2 linked regions of the Drosophila melanogaster genome follow. The gene in region 2 interacts genetically with the main gene of each other region. Each region holds a gene or a part of one and is shown on either strand. Other genes may lie near its edges.

The links.
Region 1: of robo1 (region 2) and kuz, changing one enhances a phenotype caused by changing the other (phenotypic enhancement), as found in Drosophila melanogaster (one study listed by BioGRID).

What each region holds. Positions count from the first base shown.
Region 1 is NT_033779.5:13,548,548-13,553,173, forward strand, and holds the start of kuz (kuzbanian), read left to right. Parts: upstream 1-1,591; 5' UTR 1,592-1,746; exon of another isoform or gene 1,747-1,873; intron 1,874-2,594; 5' UTR 2,595-3,055; coding exon 3,056-3,119; intron 3,120-4,626.
Region 2 is NT_033778.4:22,697,933-22,702,789, reverse strand, and holds the start of robo1 (roundabout 1), read left to right. Parts: upstream 1-1,819; 5' UTR 1,820-1,912; intron 1,913-2,194; exon of another isoform or gene 2,195-2,593; intron 2,594-2,755; 5' UTR 2,756-2,837; coding exon 2,838-2,988; intron 2,989-3,055; coding exon 3,056-3,177; intron 3,178-3,413; coding exon 3,414-3,594; intron 3,595-3,705; coding exon 3,706-3,824; intron 3,825-3,884; coding exon 3,885-4,338; intron 4,339-4,398; coding exon 4,399-4,857. Other genes in the region: Obp59a (Odorant-binding protein 59a), read right to left, coding at 1-73; CG30259 (uncharacterized protein), read left to right, coding at 286-864, 921-1,346.

The DNA.
Region 1 (4,626 bases), on a different chromosome or scaffold from region 2:
GCCGACGCCGGCAGAGCTGCGCCGACTGCCGAGCCAGCTGATTTTTGTGGCAGAGCCGAGGTGCCGTGGAATGGGGATTTTCCCGAAAAGTAACGGCTCTTTCGGGAAAAACCGTTTTCCGTATTGATTTCGGGGGGCGCTGCATGTGAGCTTCCCATAAACCAAATATGCATTCTAAAACGCCCGATGAAAGGAGTAGTTAGCTGCAGTTGGAACGAAGGAGTGGGGAGGGGAATCGAATGAAAAGAAGAAGAAAACAAGTTCTGGGCGCACAGTGGGGCAAGCTTAGAACTGTAGTGACCACTGTGCGGCAGCAGTTGAGCTTCTAGTTTGCAGTAAACGCTTCGGTCTCTCTCTCTCTCTCTCTCGCTCACGCAGGAAACCTGTTTTCGAGAATCGTTTTTTATAGCTTTTGCCACTTGCCACCAGACCAGGCCAAAATAAAAAAAAAATAAACAAAAAGTATTTCACAAGTTTTGTTTGCTTGCTTCTTTGCTGTTTGTGTTGTTGTGGTTGTTGCTGCGCTTGCTAGTTGTTTCGCTTCTGTTTATCATTTACTGTTGTTGCCACCGTTTGGCGTTTACCTTTTGCACAATCTTCGTTTACATGAAAGCGGCGACGACACGCGACCAAAGGCACACACACATTCGCACCTACACCCACACACGGACGGGGAACGCGGACAGACACACGGATACGTGAACGCAGACACGAGGTAACGGTAACGGACAGAGAAAGCGAGCACGTCCACCCGCAGCAACACTCGATGAGCATCTGACGAAGTGTTGCCAGGTGACACAACTCAGAGCGTCTTAACGAGTTTATCACTAAAAAATCCGAGCATGTTAATAATGAGCGCGCGATTCAAAATGGTTGTATTTTAACGTATACTCAAATTATCACAGTAAGCGATAGGCAAATTTAAATCAGTAGATAACCATAGCAAATGGCCCTATCCAGCTTATTAGCATAGCAACAAAACAAGCTTCTGATGTAAACAGCTTATTTGTTAAATATATCAAATTTCTAATAGTTTTCATTATAAATCTAAAATATCAAATGTGGCAACACTGGTTCCATATGATAAAGGTTGCCACCAGGCGTAAAAATATTTTCGTTGAAGTGGACGAGGGCTGCAAAATAAAGTAATTTTGGCGCCTTTTTTGAATTTAAGTGTTCAAAAAAAAATTTATGTAAATGAACGAAGAAGTACACAAGCTCACAAAACAAAATGATTTTAATTTTAATTCAATTAAACAAATTCTCTTTAGAGTTTAAAATATTATTTTGCAATAGCTTAATTTAAATAACATAAATAACATTTGTATTTGCTGTATACCTTATGCGTAAGTATCAATAATGTTTAAATATGTTTAATTAGCTGAAAAGTAAGTGCTGTTGCCTAAATAAGTTTTATTTAATGAATCTAACTATTATTAATATACTATAGTGAATACGATGAGTCATTGTATCATCTCTCGTCAATATCAGTATTAACGCACACGAAAACTAACGCATTAGAAAGATTATCTCTTTTTATGATACTGGTCACTCTAAGACTGAAGTACATTTGTATATGTGGTGAGAAATCGGGTAGTTTAAAAAAAACCACCAAGCGAGTTGGACGCGTAACTCTTTGTAACGGATCTCGGAACGCCGTGGGAGTCGGAAAATCGCTGGACGCGTGTTCGTGCGTTTGCATGTGTGCGTGCGTTCGTGTGTGTGTGTGTGCTAATGTGCGAGCGGGTGAGCGAATAAAAATAAATATATATCGTCAAGTCAGGCTTAAGAAATGTGCGCTAATCAAAGAAAATGCCCCCAATTCTGGCCAATTGAGAATTGTGGCTAAACAAAAAATTCGACCGGAGTTCAAGTGAGTGCCAATTGCGGAGACAAAATGGCTGCATTTCAACGCATTTAATTTACTGGCAACACATAGCAAACGAGAGTGAGAGAGAGAAATGTAGAGAGGCAATCCGAGAAGCAACATAAAAGAGAGAGCATGAAAGAAGTACAAGACGAGGCACACGAAAATAAGTAAACATGCAAAAACATTGTTAAATTAGCCCTATTGCGAAGTTAAACTACACATAATACTATTCACGAAAACATTTTTCTGTTTAATTATTTTGAAACAGCATTGTAAACAAATCGATTTGTTGTTCTTTTGTGCCAGCAACAACAAGCGTTTTAAAAGCAACAATAATTAATTTAATGCATTTTGTTGCGTTTGCGCCGCAGCTGTCGCTCTCTCCTTTTCCGTCTTCCGTCGCTCTTTGTCGTCTCTGTTGCATCTCCCTCTCTTGCTCTCCTCTCCGCGCTTGCTCATTGCCTCTGTGTGAGTGCAAAGGCCAATAGCTGTTTTTGTTGTGATTTTATGTTTGTTTGTATTGCTAATGTTTTGGTTTTCCAACTATTCATAAACTTATTAAACAAGAAAAAACGCATACCGAACTTATGAATATAGCGTAAATAGTAAAAAACATAATTATAAAAAAAACAATAAAACAAATAAAATTGCCTATTTTTATATTTAAATAGTATATTTTTAATAATATTAAATCAATCAAAATGTCTCGCTCTTCTGCCTTCAGAAATAAACAATCCAGTGAATAAACACACAAAATCAATCAAAAAAGAAGATTTTTCTTTTTTATTTTCGCTTTTAATTTATTAACGAGAAAATATTGGAATAAAACAAAAATAAAAATATAAGAAAAGTGTACGTGACAAGAGCTCGAAAAGAAGTTGCAACAAATAGCAAAAATAATTCGTGCGTGCGAAAAAGTGCTGCGAAGTTTTATGGCCCATGCAAAAAGTGCTAAATTTGTAAATGGCATGGAAAGTGCAAAGCTCTGATTAAAAAACCCGCGAAGATTGGAGTGCGAGGTGCCGCCCAATAACGCAACCAACTACTGCCACAAGGAAATTATTAAGACCAATCAACGACCTTCGCGGAAATAAAAAAAATAAAAAATAAAACAAAAGCAAGCAGAAATTTGGTGCTAGTTCTGTTTAGTCGACAGCCATCCACGTTGGATCCCCATCGCAAATAATGTCATCAAAATGTGCTTTCAACATTGTATTCGTATCGATCATTTTCATCATCATCGTAAATGGTAAGTTCGAAAAACTAACATTGATTAACAATGTAATCTAAATGGTTTCCGTTCCTATTTCATATAATTTTTTAAATATTTTAATTTAAAAATACATAAAGCATTGGTGTTTTTTTTCTGCACTTGACTCACTGGCAACCGAAGAAACCACAACAATCGGGGCTTAAAATGAAATACAGCCGAGGGTGCTGCAAATGACGCATAGACAATAACATTGGAATAAGTGCTCAATCAGGCGGAAACAAAGTTAACATTTTCACCCAGAACCCTTCGAGCAACAAAAATAATTACGTACTTTGCCAGGATAATTGACGAGTGAAGGATATTAGGGGGAAGGGGAAGGGTATCGTTTTGAGGGTGGAACACAGAGGGTTTCTTATAATTTTAGTAGACACTTTGGGTAATTGTCTTTGGGTTTTCTCGCCTCCCTAACTATGCTGTGGGTGTATTTTGTTATTAAACAAATGGGGTTGCTTTGCATAATTAATTTAATTTCGCTATTGTCACTCCAAGCGAATTGACAGAATGATTTTCTTGTGACCCAGAGTGTTTGCTTTCAGCAATATTCTCACTTGCAGGTGCCAAGGTTTCAAACTCAACCGACTCTAATAACAATCTATATAGCCGTGAATGTACTTTTTTTACACTTAAGTTAGCTACTCATATATGTATGTATGTTCATGTAAATATACAAATTCAGATTCTACCTATTTATTTCCACAAAGCAAGTCCATTGTTGGGGCAAAAAGAGCGAAGAAGGCGAAAAGCATAAGGTATAACGTGAGTCATGAAAACCTGAGTAAAGCTCAGGGGACTCATCCATTTTTATTGTGAAATCGTTAGCTTGGGTTTAACAAAAGGGGACTTACAAAATTTTAAAACTATATACTTCGGTATGAAACACACAGTAGGAATGAAACATTTAGCTTATACATCTACATATATAAATATATATATCAGAGTTGTGCTACTTAATTTATGAATATATTGTGTTTTGTGATAAAAAAAATGTCGTTACTGCATTGAAGACCGTTTTTTCGCCACTTCAACTAATTTGTTTGCATGGCAAGATTTTCCTAAGTTCAACGTTACGAAATTCGAGGCGGGGCGAGGGATCATGACAACAACTTCCACTCTTGGCTAATTAGCCAAAGTCAAGCAACATGAACATGGGTAAAAGAGTGAGGATTGAGGGCCAAGAATCAAGCCAAGAAGAGTGGCGGAGGCAAAAACTGGTTTATCCACTTGGCCGGCTAATCTGACAACAAAGAAAGAGAGCAGACATAAGAACCGAGAACCCAGAAGCGAGGCGAATAGAAAAGGCCAGAGACAAACAAAAAATCTGCGAAAAAGGTCAATGTCTCGGCATTATCTGTCTGGGCTGCACAAACCATATTATAATGATTAAAAATGAAAAAATTATAAAAAAATATATATATATATATATGCAACAGCTATCGGAGAAGAGTTTTTCTCCCACAAATAAGCAGCGGAAGCGAAAGAAATA
Region 2 (4,857 bases):
ATCTGCATTTCAGTGCGTAAATGGAGCAGGTGCCGCAGCTCAAACAAATCAGCAGGAAAATCAACTGTTTCATCTTGGGAACTGAATGGAGGAGCAGCTATGCCCACATCATTTATAGTTCTGGAGAATGGCATCCAAATTACAGAGTGACTGACGCACAATGAACCAAGACACATATCAATCTTAATTTTACAATTGCGTGCAATGCTCTTCGATGATTATATTTTACAATAAAGGTTATTTTAAAAGTTTATGAAAACATGTTAAATTGAACCCCACTTCCAGATGCAACTACAGCTGGAGCAGATCACCTCCAGAGGTGAAGCTCGATTGGAGAAGCTGTGGCAGGAGTATCAGGGTGTTCTGGCGGGCTACTGTCAGCACATCGAAGGCTTTTACTCGGAGTACGTGGATCTGAAGCAGCGGGATGAGGAGGCAGCCCTCCAGATTAGCCAGCAGACCCACGAAATCGAGCACCTGGTAGACCAGCTGACCAATTTGCGTCTGGTCTCCGAGGAGTTCTACATCAAGCAACAGGGCCAACTGGAGCAGCGGCAAGCCATCAAACAGCAGTTGACCGAGCGACTAAGGGAGCTACGCACCTGTGTGGAACAGGAGGTGGCCAGGGATCACCAGTTGTTCAAGCTGATGTCCGTGGAGAGCTACCATGCCTTGGAATTCCTCCAGGAAACTGTGGCCAAGGGCGAGACTCTGGCACAGTTGTCTGCGGTCTGTGCCAAGATGGAAACCCAGCGGGAGCGGATGTTCCAGTTGCCGGAAATATCCAAGGAGATTATCGAGATTCGAGATATAGAGGATCAGGGTAATGGTTCCTTGACTGACCCAGCCACTGATCTTCTTAAGGTGAGTAAAAATGCCAGTAGGTAATTTCTTCATTCAACATTGGTTTAACGTACCAGGACGAGGTGGCAGTGGTACCCCAAATGGAGTCCTTCTGGCGACGCGTCAACAACGTGGCCGTGGACGTGGCCTGCCTGAAGCAACAGAAGCGTCGCCTGGAGGCGGAGAACAGCCAGCTAAAGACGCAGCTGCAGGACTACCTGGTAAATTTGAACATTGCCAATGGCTCCAATAGCCACGTCCATAGCTATCTAGCCCGGCGGCCCAAGAGCATGTCCGTGGACAGAGTGTCGCGCCTGCAGCTCCAGCCCAAGCTGGTGAAGAGTGCCCAGCCGACTGGTCGTCGCCCAGCGGCGCCCACACCTCCCACTTTCCACTTGCATCCAGGACGCAGCCGAGCGCCTGCCTTCGAAGCCAACCTCTCCAACGTGGTTCTTTCGAGGACTTTGGCTAGGGGAAAGATGAACCTGGCCAGAATGGAATAATTTGCTAGACTCTGTAGTTATTTGATTAATGCAGGGAAACTATATTAAACAAAACACCTTAAATTGGTGTAGGAACTATTCTCTACCATAACAATTATCTATATATTTTTATAGTATTTTACAGTTGGTTCTACCGTGAACATGAATATTAATATATACGTATTTAAGCAATCACACACAAATTATATAGATATTCTGAATAAAACGGAATTTTTTAATAAACCATTCAACATCACAATACATACATTAATTTAAATATTTACATTTTATTAATATCTTAAAACATAGTTGGTATATCTTTCGATTTCAATTTCAATACAATAGAAATCAATTAAAGATTCAAATAGTTACTTTACGCGGCGCTACCAGATCAACTGATAAATATGTCCTCTGGTATTTTCGAGTATTCCTTTTCGGTACACCCCAAAATATATCGATATATCGATTCCGGGCGTTGCGCTCTCAAATTTCCACAGACACGACCCACGTCCAATTGTGAGTTTTCGCTGCGCCGTGAATCGCACTAAAGAGCAGGAAAATAGTTAATTTCCAACAGTTAAATTGGAGTAAGTTTGCACCCAAGAAAGTACGATCCAACCGCGAAGCTTCCATTTGAAGTAGATACTCGTTTTCGGATATTACAAAGTGCAGCTGCTGCGGATGTAAAGCAAATATTACAAGGAGTTATAGATACAACACTCTGTTATAGATATAGATACAACAACAACGGGGGGAAGTCCCAGGAACGGCAGGCGGTGCGAGCGAGAGGCAGCTAGAACGGCAGTGTGTGCGAGTGAGAGGGGTGGCGGGGCAGTTCTTGTTCTTGTAATTTTACCAAAAAGAAATTTCGTTCGGGAAATGTGGAAAATGTGCGCGAGGAGAGATGATGGAGAAAACAACCCCGAAAAGCGAGCAATCGTCGAATAAATACCAACAAAAACTTACACTGCGCGGCTGATTAATAAAATCCAAAAAATAAAAAGGAAAATAAAAACCAAATCAGCGAACGATACAAAAAAAGCGTTAGAAAGAAAGTGTGAGAACGTGAAATCAAAACTCCGAATCAGAATTTGGATTGTAAATTTTCGGGTCGGTGCGACTGAGACTGAGCGATAAACACAAAGGCAGATAAATACGGAAATAAAATTAATGGAAAACCAGCATAGACACATGTGTGTGGGTGTGTGAGTGTCCAAGTGTGCGTGAGTGTGTGCGTGTGTGTGTGCTTATCGCATGGAAATGCAAGCGTAAGTGGAGCAGGCGAGAAATAATTTCGAGTTTTTGGACAGATAAAAAGCAAAAAGCAAGTAAAGCCCATAAATGCCTAGCCATAATGCCGCCACGCCTACATATGTAACAGCTGCCCACATTTAGTTAACCCACATACTATCACCTATCATGCATCGCAGGACCCAAAAACAACGCCAAAATGATCGCCGCTGCATTGGGTCATCTGTAGAGTCGTCATTGCAACAGCACCAACACCATAAAATGCATCCCATGCATCCCGAAAACCACGCCATCGCCCGGAGCACGAGCACCACTAATAACCCATCTCGCAGTCGGAGCAGCAGGATGTGGCTCCTGCCCGCCTGGCTGCTCCTCGTCCTGGTGGCCAGCAATGGCCTGCCAGCAGTCAGAGGTAAACCCATCCTGGGTAATCCTCCCCAGGCCCAGTGGCTAATCCACATCCTTCCTACTCCTTTCAGGCCAGTACCAATCGCCACGTATCATCGAGCATCCCACGGATCTGGTCGTTAAGAAGAATGAACCCGCCACGCTCAACTGCAAAGTGGAGGGCAAGCCGGAACCCACCATTGAGTGGTTTAAGGTACCCACCAAATAATACTTTTCTAACTTGAATCACCATTACACTGGCAAAAGAAAACTTGATCTTAATGTTTTCATATCAATATTGTATATTTATTTATCTTTAAATATCAAAACAAAAATGAATTCAAAAATTATACAAAATATAAGTGGTTTTGAGTAGTTGTTTTTTTCCGTGTAGCCTTCGAAACCGAACCAAATCGTAACTCAATCACCCCCTCTTCTTTCCGCTCTCAGGATGGCGAACCCGTCAGCACCAACGAAAAGAAATCGCACCGCGTCCAGTTCAAGGACGGCGCCCTCTTCTTCTACAGGACAATGCAGGGCAAGAAGGAACAGGACGGCGGAGAGTACTGGTGCGTGGCCAAGAACCGAGTGGGCCAGGCCGTTAGTCGCCATGCCTCGCTCCAGATAGCTGGTAAGTTAGTCCGCCACTCTAGTCTGCTCTCCAACTTGTCTGCCCACACGCCCAGCTTTGTCTCCGATTATAATGTGCTTTTTTGATATTTTTGCAATTTTTCTTCGCTAGTTTTGCGCGACGATTTTCGCGTGGAGCCCAAAGACACGCGAGTGGCCAAAGGCGAGACGGCTCTGCTGGAGTGTGGGCCGCCCAAAGGCATTCCAGAGCCAACGCTGATTTGGATAAAGGTGGGTTCCGAAAACCAGACTGCGAAAGTCAGTTGTCTAAACCGCTTTTTGTGCTCTTAGGACGGCGTTCCCTTGGACGACCTGAAAGCCATGTCGTTTGGCGCCAGCTCCCGCGTTCGAATTGTGGACGGTGGCAACCTGCTGATCAGCAATGTGGAGCCCATTGATGAGGGCAACTACAAGTGCATTGCCCAGAATCTGGTAGGCACCCGCGAGAGCAGCTATGCCAAGCTGATTGTCCAGGTCAAACCATACTTTATGAAGGAGCCCAAGGATCAGGTGATGCTCTACGGCCAGACAGCCACTTTCCACTGCTCAGTGGGCGGTGATCCGCCGCCGAAAGTGTTGTGGAAAAAGGAGGAGGGCAATATTCCGGTGTCCAGAGCGCGAATCCTTCACGACGAGAAAAGTTTAGAGATATCCAACATAACGCCCACCGATGAGGGCACCTATGTCTGCGAGGCACACAACAATGTCGGTCAGATCAGCGCTAGGGCTTCTCTTATAGTCCATGGTAAGATTAAGTTCCATTACCAAAGAATCGCGTTTTAATCTTCAATTGTTTTCATTAAAGCTCCGCCGAACTTTACGAAAAGACCCAGTAACAAGAAAGTGGGACTAAATGGTGTTGTCCAACTACCTTGCATGGCCTCCGGAAACCCACCGCCATCTGTTTTCTGGACCAAGGAAGGAGTATCCACTCTCATGTTCCCAAATAGTTCGCACGGGAGGCAGCATGTGGCTGCCGATGGAACTCTGCAGATTACGGATGTGCGGCAGGAAGACGAAGGCTACTATGTGTGTTCCGCTTTCAGTGTAGTCGATTCCTCTACAGTACGGGTTTTCCTGCAAGTCAGCTCGTTAGACGAGCGTCCACCTCCGATTATTCAAATCGGACCTGCCAATCAAACACTGCCCAAGGGATCAGTTGCTACTTTACCCTGTCGGGCCACCGGAAATCCCAGTCCCCGTATTAAGTGGTTCCACGATGGACATGCCGTACAAGCGGGCAATCGATACAGCATCATCCAAG